Linked DNA regions of Cricetulus griseus. The main gene of each other region encodes a partner of the protein of the gene in region 3 in a complex. Links are inferred from orthologs where the notes say so. Each region holds a gene or a part of one and is shown on either strand. Other genes may lie near its edges.

What was found.
Region 1: Med25 (region 3) and Med26 share a complex: the UniProt entries of both Homo sapiens proteins name them as parts of the mediator complex. The link is inferred for Cricetulus griseus from reciprocal best matches to the Homo sapiens genes MED25 and MED26.
Region 2: Med25 (region 3) and Med7 share a complex: the UniProt entries of both Homo sapiens proteins name them as parts of the mediator complex. The link is inferred for Cricetulus griseus from reciprocal best matches to the Homo sapiens genes MED25 and MED7.

The regions. Positions count from the first base shown.
Region 1 is NW_023276806.1:247,247,189-247,252,249, reverse strand, and holds the end of Med26 (mediator of RNA polymerase II transcription subunit 26), read left to right. Parts: intron 1-1,377; coding exon 1,378-1,452; intron 1,453-2,003; coding exon 2,004-3,614; 3' UTR 3,615-4,544; downstream 4,545-5,061. UniProt on the Homo sapiens protein: Component of the Mediator complex, a coactivator involved in the regulated transcription of nearly all RNA polymerase II-dependent genes.
Region 2 is NC_048600.1:60,990,722-60,994,852, forward strand, and holds the end of Med7 (mediator of RNA polymerase II transcription subunit 7), read left to right. Parts: intron 1-1,789; exon of another isoform or gene 1,790-1,961; intron 1,962-2,657; 5' UTR 2,658-2,674; coding exon 2,675-3,376; 3' UTR 3,377-3,614; downstream 3,615-4,131. UniProt on the Homo sapiens protein: Component of the Mediator complex, a coactivator involved in the regulated transcription of nearly all RNA polymerase II-dependent genes.
Region 3 is NC_048599.1:153,714,142-153,720,581, reverse strand, and holds part of Med25 (mediator of RNA polymerase II transcription subunit 25), read left to right. Parts: exon of another isoform or gene 1-515; intron 516-870; coding exon 871-956; intron 957-1,025; coding exon 1,026-1,083; intron 1,084-1,366; coding exon 1,367-1,474; intron 1,475-2,943; coding exon 2,944-3,132; intron 3,133-3,426; coding exon 3,427-3,498; intron 3,499-3,599; coding exon 3,600-3,818; intron 3,819-3,953; coding exon 3,954-4,134; intron 4,135-4,551; coding exon of another isoform or gene 4,552-4,649; exon of another isoform or gene 4,650-4,681; intron 4,682-5,810; coding exon 5,811-6,076; 3' UTR 6,077-6,440. UniProt on the Homo sapiens protein: Component of the Mediator complex, a coactivator involved in the regulated transcription of nearly all RNA polymerase II-dependent genes.

The DNA of each region.
Region 1 (5,061 bases), on a different chromosome or scaffold from region 3:
AGTGTGTGGCCCAGGGAGGATTGATGGGGTTAGGACTGTGGCCTGCCAGCTTGGCTGCCAAGAACCTGCGTGCCAGGGCACTGCCACCCTGTGGGATTCCTGAGTCTGCAGGTGGATCACCACCAGGTAGCTTTGTGTGTGTCCCGATAAGTGTCTAAACACACAGAAGCTTTTCATTTCCATAGGTTCCGTTTGTCATTAGTTTTCTTTAACAGTTGGTCCTCTGGACTCCTCAGGAGCCCCATCGTTGCAGATCCTCTCCTGAGCACTTTTTGGAGCTTGATTTTCGCTTGCCATTTAGGTCTGGGGCTCACTGAGGTAATTTTCATGCATGTGTGTGCAGTGTATGTGCACACAGGCAAAAGGAGGCTGACGCCGGGAATCATGGGAATTGTTACTCATTCCTCCTCCTGCTCACTGAGACACCTGGAGCTCACCAACACAGCTACTCTTACTATCTAGTTGGCTCTAGGTACCCTACCTTTCCCTTTCAGAGCTGGAATTACAGATGGGCTGCCCTGCCACCTGGCAGGTACATGGGTTCTGGTCCTTAGCTGACCATCTCCTTAGCCCCTTGAGGAAGCTCCATGTGTGGGGCTTTGCTGTGCTTGCTGCTGTCGGCTTTCTGGAATGCGGTCTCCCTGGGTACACTAAGGCTGTTTGTCCGCTCTTACTCAGGAGGCTCCTCTTCATCTCCTTTCCCCCATTGCTGTGCTGCCTGCTGTTTGCCAGTGTGGCTGTGCTGCTGGCATGTCCAGTCACATCAGCCTTTTGGTCCTACCCTGCCATCTCTGAAATGATAGTCATGGCACCTGCCCTGTGAGCCTGTGGTGATTAAACAAATCAGTGATGGATGGAAGGGCTGGCTCAGAGTGGGATTCCAAACATGAACTTGGGGGATTGTTAGCCTCCCTGTTGACATAGCCGTGAAGCTCAGTGCTAGTGCTGACCTTGCCCGTTCTGCACAGAGCCTCTCAGAGTCTCTGCTTTCACGTTCTTGGGGCTGCATTGCTGTTCAGGTGTGGTGCTCCAGAGACCCTCATTCTGGCCATGTGACATACATCTTAGTCTGTGACATACTGGTTTATTGTCCCCTCTTGCTTTCCTCTGAGGCTTTGTGTGTTTGGTATATATGGTAACTTCTCCAGCCCCTGCTTCAGGGACTTTCCAGTAAAGATGTCAGACCAGGGGCAGGTCTCTTTTCATGACACCCGATAGCAGTGGGTGGCTGAGTGTGTGCATATGGGCAATGGTAAACCCTTGGGAGATGGTGATGGTGGGGGTTTGGTGGTGTCCAGTGCTGGCAACTTGAAAGGCCCTGGGTTGCTAGGCTTTCAGTCGGAGCCCTAAGCTGATAACCTGGTTCTTGTTCTTCAGATCAGGAACATGGTTGCAGTATTGGAAGTGATCTCCAGTCTGGAGAGATACCCCATCACCAAAGAGGCACTAGAGGTAAGAGCTCAACTTTGGGCAGAATGAGAGGTGAGGGTAGCCCCTAGCCACCTTCTACTTGTGGCTTAGGCTTTTGTAGTCCTTCAGGGGACCCAGTGGGCAGTGTGTCCAGGACATTGGTCTTCGCAAGGACTTTCCAAGAGTGAAGGCGTCTACTCTCACAGTTGGGTTCCTTCCCATACCCTGCACACCTCATAGCATTTGGAACACGACCTGTGCTGAGCTTTAGACAATTGGTTAGTGTCCCTGTCCTTTGGAGACCAGGCCTTAGGCTGTGAAATGTGTTCAACCAGGCACCCTGGTGGAGCAGCTGTGTGGCCTTGATGGCACAGACTCCAGGTTCCAGGAACCAGTGGACCTGCTTTTGAGGAAGCCTCTGGGTCCCAAACCTAAGAATTCATGCTGCCACATAGTATTGGACACCTCCAAGATGCATCCCATAAGCTGGCAGTTTGGGGGCTGGGGGAAAGAGGTAAAGCCAGAAAGGGTGAGCTTACTGGCTCAGCTACCTCGTCCTGCATTGTATAAGTGTGTCATTCTCTTGCTTGTAGGAGACACGACTGGGGAAGCTCATCAATGACGTCCGCAAGAAAACCAAGAACGAGGAGCTAGCCAAGAGGGCCAAGAGGCTTCTGCGGAGCTGGCAGAAGCTCATCGAGCCAGTGCACCAGAATGAGGTGGCCCTACGGGCACTGGCGGGAGCTGCCGGCTCTGCCAATGGGGGCGCACACAACTGCCGGTCAGAGGTGGGAGTAGCCAGCACACCCAAGAGCATCCATGACCTGAAGAATCGCAATGACATCCAGAGGCTTCCTGGGGAGCGGCTAGACAGGCTGGGCAGCCGTAAGCGTAGAGGGGATCAGCGTGACCTGGGCCACCCGGGGCCACCCCACAAAGTTCCCAAAGCCACCCCTGACCCCCTAGTCCCCAATGCATCCCCTCTCCCCACTAATGGGATCAGTGGGAGCCCAGAGAGCTTACCTAGCCCCCTGGATGGTAGTGGGCACTTGGGCCCTGATAGCAGCCGCCTGGAACCCAGCGACAATGAGAAGCACAGTACCAAGATCCCCGTGAACGCCGTGCGGCCCCGCCCCAGCTCCCCTGGCCTGGGCAAGCCCCCCGTGCCCTGCCTGCAGACAAAGGCTGCACAGCTGGACAGAGCAGATGAGCCGCCAGGCCCTCCCCATCCCAGGGGGACCTCTCGCTGCTCCTTCAGCCCCCGGAACTCACGGCATGAAGGCTCCTTTGCCCGGCAGCGGAGCTCATACATAGCGAAGGGCTCTGTGTCCAGCCCCTCCCCACGCCCCCAGCCACTGGACACCACACAGGTGCCATCCCCACTCCCGCTAGCCCAGCCGTCCACACCCCCTGTGCGGCGGATGGAGCTGCTGTCTAGTGCTGAGAGCCCTGTGCACTGGCCAGAGCAGCCGGAGGGTCACCCACGGCTAACAGGGCCAGCCTGCAGGGTCGGGTTGTCGCCAGATTCCTCCAAGGTGGACAGCGATGCTGCCTCTTCAGGTGGCTCAGACAGCAAAAAGAAAAAGAGGTACCGACCTCGAGACTACACGGTGAACTTGGACGGGCAGGTGGCTGAGGCAGGCGTGAAGCCTGTGCGGTTAAAAGAGCGGAAGCTCACCTTTGACCCCATGACAAGACAGATCAAACCTCTGACCCAGAAAGAACCCGTGCGGGCCGACAGCCCCGTACCCACAGAGCAGCCACCTAGGACAGAGCAGGACCAGCAGGAGGCCAAGGCCAGCCTCCAGAGTCCTTTTGAGCAGACGAACTGGAAGGAGCTGTCACGCAATGAGATCATCCAGTCCTACCTGAGCCGCCAGAGCAGCTTGCTGTCCTCTTCTGGCGCGCAGACCCCAGGCGCGCACCACTTTATGGCCGAGTATCTGAAGCAGGAGGAGAGCAGTCGGCGAGGGGCCCGGCAGCCCCATGTGCTGCTGCCGCTGCCCACGCCCACTGACCTCCCGGGGCTCACTCGGGAGATCACACAGGACGATCTGGACAGAATCCAGGCCCAGAAGTGGCCAGGGGTGAACGGGTGTGAGGACACACAGGGTAATTGGTATGACTGGACGCAATGCATATCGCTCGACCCGCATGGCGATGATGGGCGCTTGAACATTCTGCCTTATGTCTGCTTGGACTGAGCACCTGGCCTGGCCATCAAGTGCATTCCCACCTTGCAGGGGGTAGGCTGGCCAGCCAGGAGGGCGAGCATGAGGCTCACCCTCCACCCTCCTTTTGTGAAATGCTGCTACCAGTTTACTAACGATTGCAAAGGAAGGGCTGCTCAGAGGGCAGATGGCAGAGGGAGTCCAGAACTCTATAGCAAGCCAGCTATATAAAGCGTTAGGTCCCCCACCCCAGAAGAGGTGCAGAGCCCCTCTAGCACCGAAGGTGGGGACCTCAGTGGCAGGCAGGCACAGGAAACCTGCGGGAGAGGTTACCTTAACAGCAACAGATGCACATCTCATCTCTGAATCTCCTACTCTTTGGCTCTGGCCAGTCTCTGGCCTCGGCCAAGCCAGTGTTTTCTTTTCCCTCGTGTTATGCGCTAGAAGCTTCTCTGCTATGGTGAACCCTGGCATTGGGCGGGTGAGCCAGCTTCACCCACTTGCACAGGTGTCCACCCATTTGTATATGGTTTCAGTTCAACCCCTGTTCTTAAAGAAATGCTGCAAAAACTTCAGTTTTCTTGTTTATTTCATCCTCTTTTCCACCTGACCACCAGCCAAATGACTTTTCCTTTCTATCTCTTCCTGTCTACATCTCTAGGAAATGCCATCTTTCTAGAGCCCTCAACCTCACAAAGTTCCCGAGGGTGCTACTGGCGTGAGTTGCCCTGCTGGGCGAGGAGAGCCGTCTGTTAGCTGGAAACACTCATAACCATTCCTTTAGATTCGTTTGCCTTATGGTTGTCATAAACGCAATTTGCAAAAACAAGGAGCCTTAGTGAATGTACAGTACCTAGACTTCTGCGTCCTCGCAGAAGGGAGCAACTTTGCTATTTGGTCCAGTAAGTGGATACCTTGTGATATAAATGTGGAAATAAAAAAAAAAAACATTTGCACAAACCAGTTTTGGAATCATTTCTCATTTGAACTTGTACTTGGCCTTTCCTGGATTCCTCCATGGGGAAGTCCCTGGAGCCCACAGCCTTGGTGGCATCCTATTAGCTTGCTTCTGTGGCAGCAGGCAGGATCTCTCTACCTATCTTTCATTCTTTTGGGGCCAACCATATCACCTTGGTCACCCACCCAGGGATGCCCCCTCCTTCAGGCCCTGTAGCTGATGACACCTTCCTTGACCACCAATAACTTTCTGACATTACATGGCCCAGAGGTGCAGACCAATATGTTATCTAGCCCCAGCCCTGGGCTAGCATCTGCAGGCAGGCCTAAGGTTGCCCCCCCACACACACACCTGACAGTTACCTGCCAGGGTTTCTTCTCCGACAGAAAGTAACGTGTTGTTTTCTCTCCTCCCCAAAATCGGTAATTTAAGTTTCCAGTTTTGTTTTTCACTCTTGAGATAGGTCACCTTACCTACAGCTGCCTATACAGCAGCTGTATGGGGTCAAGTCCTAAAACATTT
Region 2 (4,131 bases), on a different chromosome or scaffold from region 3:
ATCGAATTGGGAATAGTTGTGTCGTTGTGAAGAAGAAATGACGGTGTAAATAGCCGGTGCCAGTCACTTACTGGAAGCCTTTGGGAAACTGCGGGTTTAGTGTGGGCGTGGGGAAGGGAAGCACAGAACCTCAATTTCAAAAGCCCTCAGTGGGTGAAATTAGGCTGTGGTTGCAGGAGAACATTCGTGTTTTAGGTATATACTGAAGTACTTAGGGGAAAAGGTGTCAGGGTGGGTGGGTGGGTGGGTGAGGTGCCCAAACAGTTGGAAAGCTGAAGACTTTGAAGTGGCTGCCCTCAGATTTAACATATTCCAAGGAACTGGTACTGAACCGGTATGTTACTTGCCCCAGTTGATGTTGGTAGATGGATGGTGCGTCTTGAAACTCAGATCAAGTGTGAAAAAGCACTCAGGAGTCTCCTCACTGGATGTACACTTATCAATGGATAATACACTATATAATTCAAATTGGAATAGGAGAGGTTATTTTGACCATGTGTGTTGCAGTTTTTTTTATTATTTGGAAATATATAAAATGCTAATGTGTTAATAAGACCGTACTCTTTGGTTTTTCGGGACAGGGTTTCTCTGTGTAGCTTTGGAGCCTATCCTGGCACTCGCTCTGGAGACCAGGCTGGCCTTGAACTCACAGAGATCCGCCTGCCTTTGCCTCCCGAGTGCTGGGATTAAAGGCGTCTGCCACCAACGCCCGGCCCTCTCAAGATGGGGCTTCCTTCACAAAGCCTGGATAATAATAGAAGTTTGAAATTTAACAATGCTTTTTTTGTTGTTTTTGTCAAAATGTTTAGAGTCTTTAAGTGTTTGGTTTTGGAAACCAGTACATAATAGAAAGCAAAAGTGATTGTGATATGAGATTGATAAACACCATAGGTAGTTTCACTGTGGGAAAGAGTAGTAAAAAGGCACGTGATATTTGTGTGTATAAGTGTTCTTTTTTCCAGTGTGGGTTCCAACATAGGCCTATCCACCCCCCCAAAAAAAACCCAAAAAACAAAAAAACAAAAACAAAAATCAGACATGACAAATAATATATCATGTGCCATACAAAATCATCCCAGACATGGACCCTTTTCTCTTAGTTTTTAGAATATGTATTTTGTTCTTTGAGAATTTTATACACAATGTGTTTTGATCATGCCCTCTCCTTCCCCTCTAATACCATGCAGACCATCACCATATCTCACTCCCAACTTCATATACTTTAAAAATAGTTTTTAAAGGTATTTTTAGCACAGGCTGACTCAAAAATCAATGTGTAGCCCAAACTGGCCTTGAACTCATAGCTGTCTTGGCTTCTATAGTGTGAACCACCACATCTATGACAGTTGAGGTCCTTTTTCAAAATAACAACAAAAAAAAATGTTTAAAAAGAACAGTAAGTAAAGTTATCTGCCAAACCTTTAGTGGACTTGACTGGCTGCTTCCCACTTCCTATGCTTCCATTTGTCAGCTTACATAGAACACATGAGTCCTTAACCCTAGCGTCCCTCTTTCCTCACCAAGCAGAACAGGTGTCCTTACTTCATAGTCACATGAAGTCTGGCAGACAAAAGTGTCCTTTAGCAGGTGACAGGGACTTTAAGGGATTCAAATAATTGTAAGATTTCCAAGTGACACTGCTTCATGTTCTCAGAATTTCCTTCATAGAGTCTGCATACCTCGACTTGGGTGTATATTTAGATGCTAGAGATTGTTTCATGGCTCTCATCACAGTTATCTTCATTGCACGAAGCCATAGCTTTGCTTTATTTTTCTTTTCCTTTGCCAGGGTCACCTGTTCCTTTAGGGTGAAATTAGCACACCTTGTGTCTTGACTGGCCAACAAGTTCTCAATTTTCAAGGCATACTTACCAGCAGGAAGCTTAAAGATAATATGGTCTGAATTCACAGTGTACTTCTGAACATTGAAGTTGATGTTGTCCAGGCTGCCCTGGTCATTGGTTGGTAATTTTTTTCCTCAGCAGTGAAGCTTCATGATACAGTGACAGATGTCATAAGAGCCTCTTCCTCCCACCACACCCCTTTATTTTCAGGATGCTTTGTATGGGTTTATCTTTGAGAAATTAACAAGTGCTAGTGTCTTTTGTGCTCAGAAAGGTTTTTTGTTTGTTTTTATTTTTTTCAATGCCATTACTGTAATTATGGGTACCTGCCTTCTGCTGGAATGGTGTGCCTTTCTAGATGTCTGCTGCACAGACCCTCTTCCCCCAGATGGGCAGGGAGGGGGTGGCAACAGAAGATCCTAGGCACAAAGCAAAAACAAGACACCCTGCACATCCATCCGTAGGCTGTTATCTTTCTTTTGCCTCAGCAGACACCCAGCTGATGTGTGGCTGCCCTAGCTTCCAATCCCCTCAGATTTTATTTATATATGAAAAAGAGTAACTTGTTTATTTAACTGCTCTGGAAAGCACCAAGGAGATAAAGGAAAACAATAGGGGTGTTAACAACATAATCTTTAATTAGAAAATAATTGATGGCCATTCCCTTTTTGTAAATGTTAGTTTTAAATCTGAGATCATCTTGTCTTGGACCCTGTCCTGTCAGAAGAAGGAAAAACATACTCTGAAGTCACTGATGGTGGTTGGGGGTAGTGTTGTCTGGTTCTGCTCTGAATCTGTGTTCTGTTTCTTTAGGTTCTTGATTGTCGACAATGGGTGAACCACAGCAAGTGAGTGCACTCCCACCACCTCCAATGCAGTACATCAAGGAATATACAGATGAAAATATTCAGGAAGGCTTAGCTCCCAAGCCTCCCCCTCCAATTAAAGACAGTTACATGATGTTCGGCAACCAGTTCCAATGTGATGATCTTATCATTCGCCCTTTGGAAAGTCAGGGCATTGAACGGCTTCATCCTATGCAATTTGATCACAAGAAAGAACTGAGAAAACTCAATATGTCTATACTGATTAATTTCTTGGACCTTTTAGATATCTTAATAAGGAGCCCTGGGAGTATAAAACGAGAAGAGAAGCTAGAAGATCTTAAGCTGCTTTTCGTACATGTGCATCATCTTATAAATGAGTATCGACCCCACCAAGCAAGAGAGACCTTGAGAGTAATGATGGAGGTCCAGAAACGGCAACGTCTTGAAACAGCTGAGAGGTTTCAGAAACACCTGGAACGAGTAATTGAAATGATCCAAAATTGCCTTGCTTCTTTGCCAGATGATTTACCCCATTCAGAAGCAGGGATGAGAGTTAAAACTGAGCCAATGGATACTGATGATAACAGCAATTGTACTGGACAAAATGAACAACAAAGAGAAAATTCAGGTCACAGGAGGGACCAGATTATAGAGAAAGATGCTGCCTTATGTGTCCTAGTTGATGAAATGAATGAAAGACCATGAGTATTTTTTCTTTTAGTGAATAGCATCATATATTAGTTTATTTTCTCTTGGACAGTCTTAAGAGGTATAACTAAAAATATAAAGGGACTTTTCTCAATTGAAATGCTGTAGGTGATAATTTAACAGTAAGGATAGGCAAGGAAGTATATTTGAGTAATGATCATAAAAAAGCAGAATGTTTGCTATTGAATGGGATAGTCCTATTTTTGGAAGTGGAATAAAAATTTTAAGAAATATTGAACTGTCATTCTTACGGGGGAGTTATTTCCTTTAAGACTAATAAAGGGCATCAAACTGTACATGTGAAATTACAAAATGTTTAGATTTATTCCAAAACAATACAGGAACTATTTTCCTGATGACTGTTCTACAAACTCAGTATCACAGCCGCTTCTTCCTTATCTTCCATAAAATATCTGCTAGGGGCTTCCCCTTCCCCCCAGTCAGGTAATCAGTCTTCGGTCACTAAGTTTATGTTCATTTTAGACATTAAAATATCTTATGTGCTAACTATATTTCCTGTGTTAGCTGTCTATGTGAGTGTGAGTGCATTTCCTGCAGAGGCTAAAAGGGTGTTGGCTTTTTTTGGAGTGAAGGTGGTTGAAAGCCATTTCTGTGGATGCTGAGAACCAAACTGGTACTATACAAAGAGCAGAATGTGAGCCACTGAGTCATCTCTCTAGCCTCTGCATTATTCCTTTAAAGCCGACGTCTGGTGTTAAATCTGGAAGTTTGCAATGAAAAAACGTTTAGTA
Region 3 (6,440 bases):
GCTCTATAGGCCTCAGTGGGACCAGAAGTGGCATGATAAGAAATACAAGAAAGCTCACTTGGGCACAGCCCTGAAGGCCAGTCTTTAAGGAGGTGCCTCTCATGCAGAAGGAATTGTGTTGAAAAAAAGTAGGAGTTGAAGCCAAAGATCCAAATTGTGCTATCAGGAAGTGTGTCAGGTACAGCTCATCAGGAACCGCACCTTTTATGCCCAGTGGTGACTGCTTGAACTTCACTGAGGAAAAGGATGAAGTTCTGTTTGCTGGTTTTGGTCAAAAAAGTCATGCTCCAGAGTCCACTCTAAGATTGTTAAAGTAGTCATCGTGTCCCTTTTGACCCTGTACAAAGGCAAGAAGGAAAGAACAAGATCATAAATTTTGACAGTGCAAACACAGTTATAAATTTTCATATTCTGGGGTTGGGGAGAAAAAATTATGTTGAGTCAGGCAGTAGTGGTGCACACCTTTATTCTCAGTACTTGGGAGGCAGGGGCAGAGGCAGGTGGATGTCTGTGAGTTCAAGGCCAGCCTGGTCTACAGAACAAGTTCCAGGACAGCAAGTGCTGTTACACGGAGAAATCCTGTTTGGAAAAACCAAGAGAGAGAGAGAGAGAGAGAGAGAGAGAGAGAGAGAGAGAGAGAGAGAGAAATTAAGGCATAGTGGTGCACACCTTTAATTCTAGCACTTGGGAGGCAGGCCCCAGGTCTTATGGCTTCTGGAGGACAGTGATTATAAGATTTTGAGGCCCAGTGTTTGAGGACTCTGGGAGCATGAGTGTGAGGTTGCTGGGAAGGTAGGAGAGACGTGAGGCTGCCGGCGCTGGTGGAGGTTGAGTCAGGAGGCCCTGGCTAATTCACCCTTCCTCTTCCAGAAACCAAAGCCTGCATCTGTGGATGCTAACACCAAGCTGACGAGGTCTCTGCCTTGCCAGGTCTATGTGAACCATGGAGAAAACCTGTAGGTATTTGTCAGGGGTGGGGTAGGTTTAGCCTGGCCCCTCCTGATTCTCCTCTCTCTGTCCCACAGGAAAACAGAGCAGTGGCCCCAGAAACTGATCATGCAGCTCATCCCTCAGCAGCTGCTGGTGAGTCCTGCCAGGCAGGAGCTGCCTGGCCCTTGTCCCCCGTTCCCACATAATCTCCCCTACCTTGTGTTGCCCCGAATGATGCCTGCGTTTTCCCAGACTACCCTACCTTGTGTTGCCCCGAATGATGCCTGCGTTTTCCCAGACTACCCTACCTTGTGTTGCCCCGAATGATGCCTGCGTTTTCCCAGACTACCCTACCTTGTGTTGCCCCGAATGATGCCTGCGTTTTCCCAGACTACCCTACCTTGTGTTGCCCCGAATGATGCCTGCGTTTTCCCAGACTACCCTGGGCCCTCTGTTCCGGAACTCAAGAATGGTCCAGTTTCACTTCACCAACAAGGACCTGGAGTCCCTCAAAGGCCTCTACCGCATCATGGGCAATGGCTTCGTGAGTGGCGGGCACTGACTTCCTTCCCCATCTCTGCCCACAGTCCTGCATCTAGGAGTCGCTGTCTTTCCTTGGGTGTCGTTTGTGGTGCTGCAGTTAGGGCCACATGTCCTAGCATCTGCTGTGTCCCTGTCCCGTGGGCCTGCATTTGTTGATGGTTTGAGATAAGTCTTGCTGTGTAGTAAGACCTCCACCTGGGTGTCCTCCTGCCTCGGGCTCCTGAGGGCTGTTTTGCAGCTATGTGCGGTGCAGTCCAGCCTGGCTTCTCTGGCCCTGTTCTTTCCTGTATCTCCACTTTGTTGCATAGGGCCTGCCCTCATGCCTCATATAACCTTCAGGTCAGCTCACCTTCCTGGGGGCTAGTGGGTTGGAACTTGTGTTTAGGGAAGACCCAAGTGCCTGTGTGTGCATGGGATTAGCGACAGTGACTTCTATGCCCAGAGTTTTCCCCAGGCAGAGATTGTTGATCATCATCCTCTCAGCCCTCTTTACCTCCGCTGACACTGTTGCCTGCTGTACCTCTCTCGTGTCTGTGGGTCTGCTGGGGCTGTTGTCAGGAAGGTCAGCTGGGCCAAGAACCCTCTGTGGTGTGGCTCATCTGCTGTCCTCCTCAGTGAAAACACTGAATTCTGAGGGAATGTTCCAACAAATGGCCTGTTTTTGCTGCAGGCCAGGATACAGAAGGAGAGCTCAGTGACCTCAATGCCTAGGCCTCTCACAGGCTCAAGATGGTTACCTTAGCTTTTGAGTCCCTTTAAACATTTGGAAGAGGCAATGACTTCAGGAAGCGAGAAATGTTCACAACTTCTGACCAGGCCTCCTTTTATCTGGGCCTGGCTGGGTTCCTAGGCTGCACCCCTGTAGGGGAGGACACTCCAGTATCTGGCCTGGGTGGCACTGCCTGTTCTGTGCTGGACTGGGTTAAGGAGAGGGGTGTGTTGATGCACTAGCTGCAAGTCCTGAGAAGTAAACCCAGGTAGCCAAAGCCAGTTAGTTCCCTGAGAGCCCATGGAGACTCTGAATCCCAAAATGGCATCCTTGTGATGTTGCCATTCTCTGGTCCATGCTGGAGGCCCTGGCAGAGATAGAGCCACCTTCAAGGGTCTGACCCTGACTTCCTGCCACCCTCCCCAGTGGAGCCCTGTCCAGTGTGATTTGATGAGATAACCCAGTGCTATATAGTGGGAGACATGAGGTAGAGCCACTCAGTCAGGGTCACCATGGGCTTCTGGTGTGACCTGCTGTCTCCTCGGTGGTCAGCAGGGACTTTGGTCTTGCTGTGCCCTTTGAGTGCCTGTCACTCACAATTTTTTGTTTCCAGGGCAGCTGCTGCGCCAACCTGGCCTCCCTGGCCTTGTACAGTGAGACCTCCCTACCTCTTGCCTATAAGGCTTGTAGAATTTTATAGGCTGAGGTAGGCTAGCCCATGCCTCTCGGGTAGGCTGCTTCTGAAGAGTCTCTGTCCACAGGCGGGCTGCGTGCACTTCCCGCATACAGCCCCATGCGAGGTGCGTGTGCTCATGCTCCTGTACTCATCTAAGAAAAAGATCTTCATGGGCCTCATCCCCTACGACCAGAGTGGCTTTGTCAATGGCATCCGCCAGGTCATCACCAACCACAAGCAGGTCCAGCAGCAGAAGCTGGAGCAGCAGCGAGGGGTGAGTGGTAGTGGCAAGCCAGTGTCCTCTCATAGCTCCCCAGAGCCCAGTCAGCCATAAGCCGCCTGTCTGAGTCCAATGTGCCCCTTGTGTCCTAGCAGAGCAGCTTTAGTCCCTTCTCAGTTTCCACGGCAGTCCCTGATACAGGCCTTCCTTATTGGTCAGGCAGGGTGTGATGCACCTACTAGATGGTATGTCCCCAAAGAAAGGCACCTTCCTCCTACACACCAGGTCCTCCAACAGGTTCAGACAGCCTTCCCTCACCACTGATCTGTCCTCTCTGTCCCCGTGCAGATGGGGGCACAGCAGGCACTTCCAGGCCTGGGCCCCATTCTGGAGGACCAAGCGAGGCCCCCGCAGAACCTAGTGAGGACTTGGGTGGGGACTGGTGGGATTGGGGATGGAGGTTGGGTGGAGCTAGGGCAGTTCCCTACTGCTTGTCCTTGCTCACGCTGTCTGTTCTCCAGCTCCAGCTCCGTGCACCACAGCCCCAGCCTCAGGGTGCTGTGGGGGCCTCTGTGGCTACAGGGCAGCCCCAGCCACAAGGTACTACCCAGGCCCCCACAGGAGCACCCCAGGGTCCTCCAGGAACAGCCCCCGGCCCACCACCTTCTGGACCTATCCTTCGGCCCCAGAACCCTGGGGCCAACCCCCAGTTGCGGAGCCTCCTCCTTAACCCACCACCGGTGAGGCATGGGAATAGAGCAACAGGGAATTGCAGGTTCTTACCCAGTATCTCTGGGAGGAAGGGGTGGGCTGTACCAGCAGGGCCTTTCTGGAGCACAGACTGGGCCCTCTGAGCCATTCTTTGTCTTCCCCAGCCCCAGACTGGGGTACCCCCACCCCAGGCCTCCCTCCACCACCTGCAGCCTCCAGGGGCCCCTGCACTGCTGCCTCCACCACATCAGAGCCTGGGGCAGCCCCAGCTGGGGCCACAACTCCTCCACCCTCCACCTGCCCAGTCTTGGCCCACACAGCTTCCCCAGCGGGCTCCACTGCCAGGTAAGGGTGTTCTAGGGGAGGGTAGAGGTCTAGACTGGGAGTCCTTGCAGCCACTGGCAAGGACCCCATTACCAAAGGGCCTCCCCATAGCTCTAGGGGGCTTAGAGGGCCATTGGGAAGTTTAGCCATGGGAACAATGCCTCAGTGAGTGAGAGCTTTCCATAATCCTTATATGCTGCCCTGGGATGCTGGAAGATACCTTAGGGTCAGTGATGCTGTCGGGGGAAGGGCTCCCAAAGGGTCAAAGGAAAATGTCTGCATCTAATTGGGCTTAGAAGGATCCCTGGCTCTGGTGGTCCCTGGAGCTTCCTAGAAACCTGACTGCCTTGGGTTCCCAGAAGAGGGGATGAGAGGTCCAGGGTCCTCAATGGTCCCAGGGACCACTGGGAGATGCAGTCCCTTCCCACTGCCCCCCAGGTCAGATGCTGCTGAGCGGGGGTCCCCGGGGCCCGGTCCCCCAGCCGGGCCTGCAGCCCAGCGTCATGGAGGACGACATCCTCATGGACCTCATCTGAACCCAACACCCAATAAAGTTCCTTTTAACGATTCCCGGCTCCCGTCACTGACGCCCCTAGGGCTGTCTTTGCTCTCGCCTTGCAGACTCCCCAAGGCCCCGGCTGGGTGATGCTGGGCCACGGGGGGAGTTGGAGGCAGCATGGTGAGGCCTGGTTCTGGGAGACTCAGAGGCAGGTGGGCAGATAGTGTACAGCTCATGTGCACTCAAGGGGTTACAGAGCCCAGAATGCCTCTGACCCAGCCAGGGTTCCGAGGAGCCTGGAAGGAGAAGCAGCAGTTGGGAGCCAGGAGGTACTAAGGTGCAGATAGCCAAAGCCACAGTAAAGGGACAGGCAAGGTCAGGAGGTGGATGCTCCTGGAGCATGAGCATTACAGGGAGGAGCCAGACTGGAATGCTTGAGACTTGTCCTGGGGACGCAGGACCACAGAGATCTCCAGTGGGGCTGATGTCAGAAAGGCTGGTTTGTAGGAGCAGGGCAGGCCAGAGGCAAGGTCAAAGGACTGTTCCGGTGACACATGCCACACCAGGCAGTCAGGATGTCCCCATGGGACAGTGTGCTGTGCTTGAAGCAGTAGCAATTTAGGTTCTAGTTGGAGGTGTGGGGAAGTGAGGAAGCCCCTGTCTTGCAGGGTGTTCTCAGGTTTGTCTGTAGGTGGTCTCCTTGGAGATGTTGTGAGATATTTGTCACACAGGCATATTAACTGTGAGTGTGGTCTGTGCCTGGACCACCACTGCCTGGGTCTGGGACGCTAGTTAATGTGCAGGTCACTCACTATCCCAGAAGAGAGGCTTCAGTCTAGTGGCCCGTGGGCCACCACAGATGAGTTTTGTTTGGCCTTCCCTGTGTTAGCATGTGTCACTTTTTTCCTTCCAGTTAGCTATAAAACTTAAGTGAAATTCACACACACGCACAATTGCTCCTCAACATGTCGGAAACACTGACACCCTGGGTCTACCCTTCTGCCTGGCAGTAGTAGCTGGGTTTGCCCCATCAGTGGGGCTCATGCTCTTGGGTTCGCCACAGTCCCCACCACTCTCTCTTGCTCTTCCACGGTGAGGCCAAAGCCCTGCCTCCGTCACGGGGCTGGCACCGTGGTGGTTCTGTGGTAGCATTCAGAGAAAAGTGAAATCTTTCTTGTACCCATGTCTCCTTCAAAAGTGGCCAAACGAAAGAAAGAAGGAGAGGGCCGCGTGTTTCGAGAAAAATGGGAGCGAGACTATTTCTTTGTGGAAGTGAAGAACATGCCCACGTGCTTAATATGCAAAAAAAACGTGTCAGTGCTGAAAGAGTACAACCTGAAGCGTCACTATGAGTCCCAGCACAGTAAGAGCTACGACCAGTACACAGCACAGCACCGCGACGTGGTCCTGCAGGAGCTGAAAAGGGCCCTCAGAGCCAGCGAGGCTCTGGAGAACCCGGAGTAGGAGCCACAAGTGATGTGGAGAGAACGTCCGTGTCCTGAACAGAGCTGCATCCTCAAGGCTGCCCTGTGAGTCTGACAAGCTTTTGCAGGCTGAAGTACACAGGAGTCAGAGGCCTTATGGGGTCCGGTTGCCTGACCCACAGCTGTGGCCTTTTGATGGCTGTGCAGAAACTCTGACCACATGGTTAGCTTTATTTATTTGTGGTGGTGGTGATCTCCATGCAGCTGAAGAAGTCTGTGAGGTGGCACCAAGCCAGCCCCTCACTTTGAAGTGGCTTGCTTTTGTGCATGCACACATCAGAATTCATAAGCACAACTACAACCCCATCACAGTGATCGGGCCGTCCATCATGAGGGCCATCCCT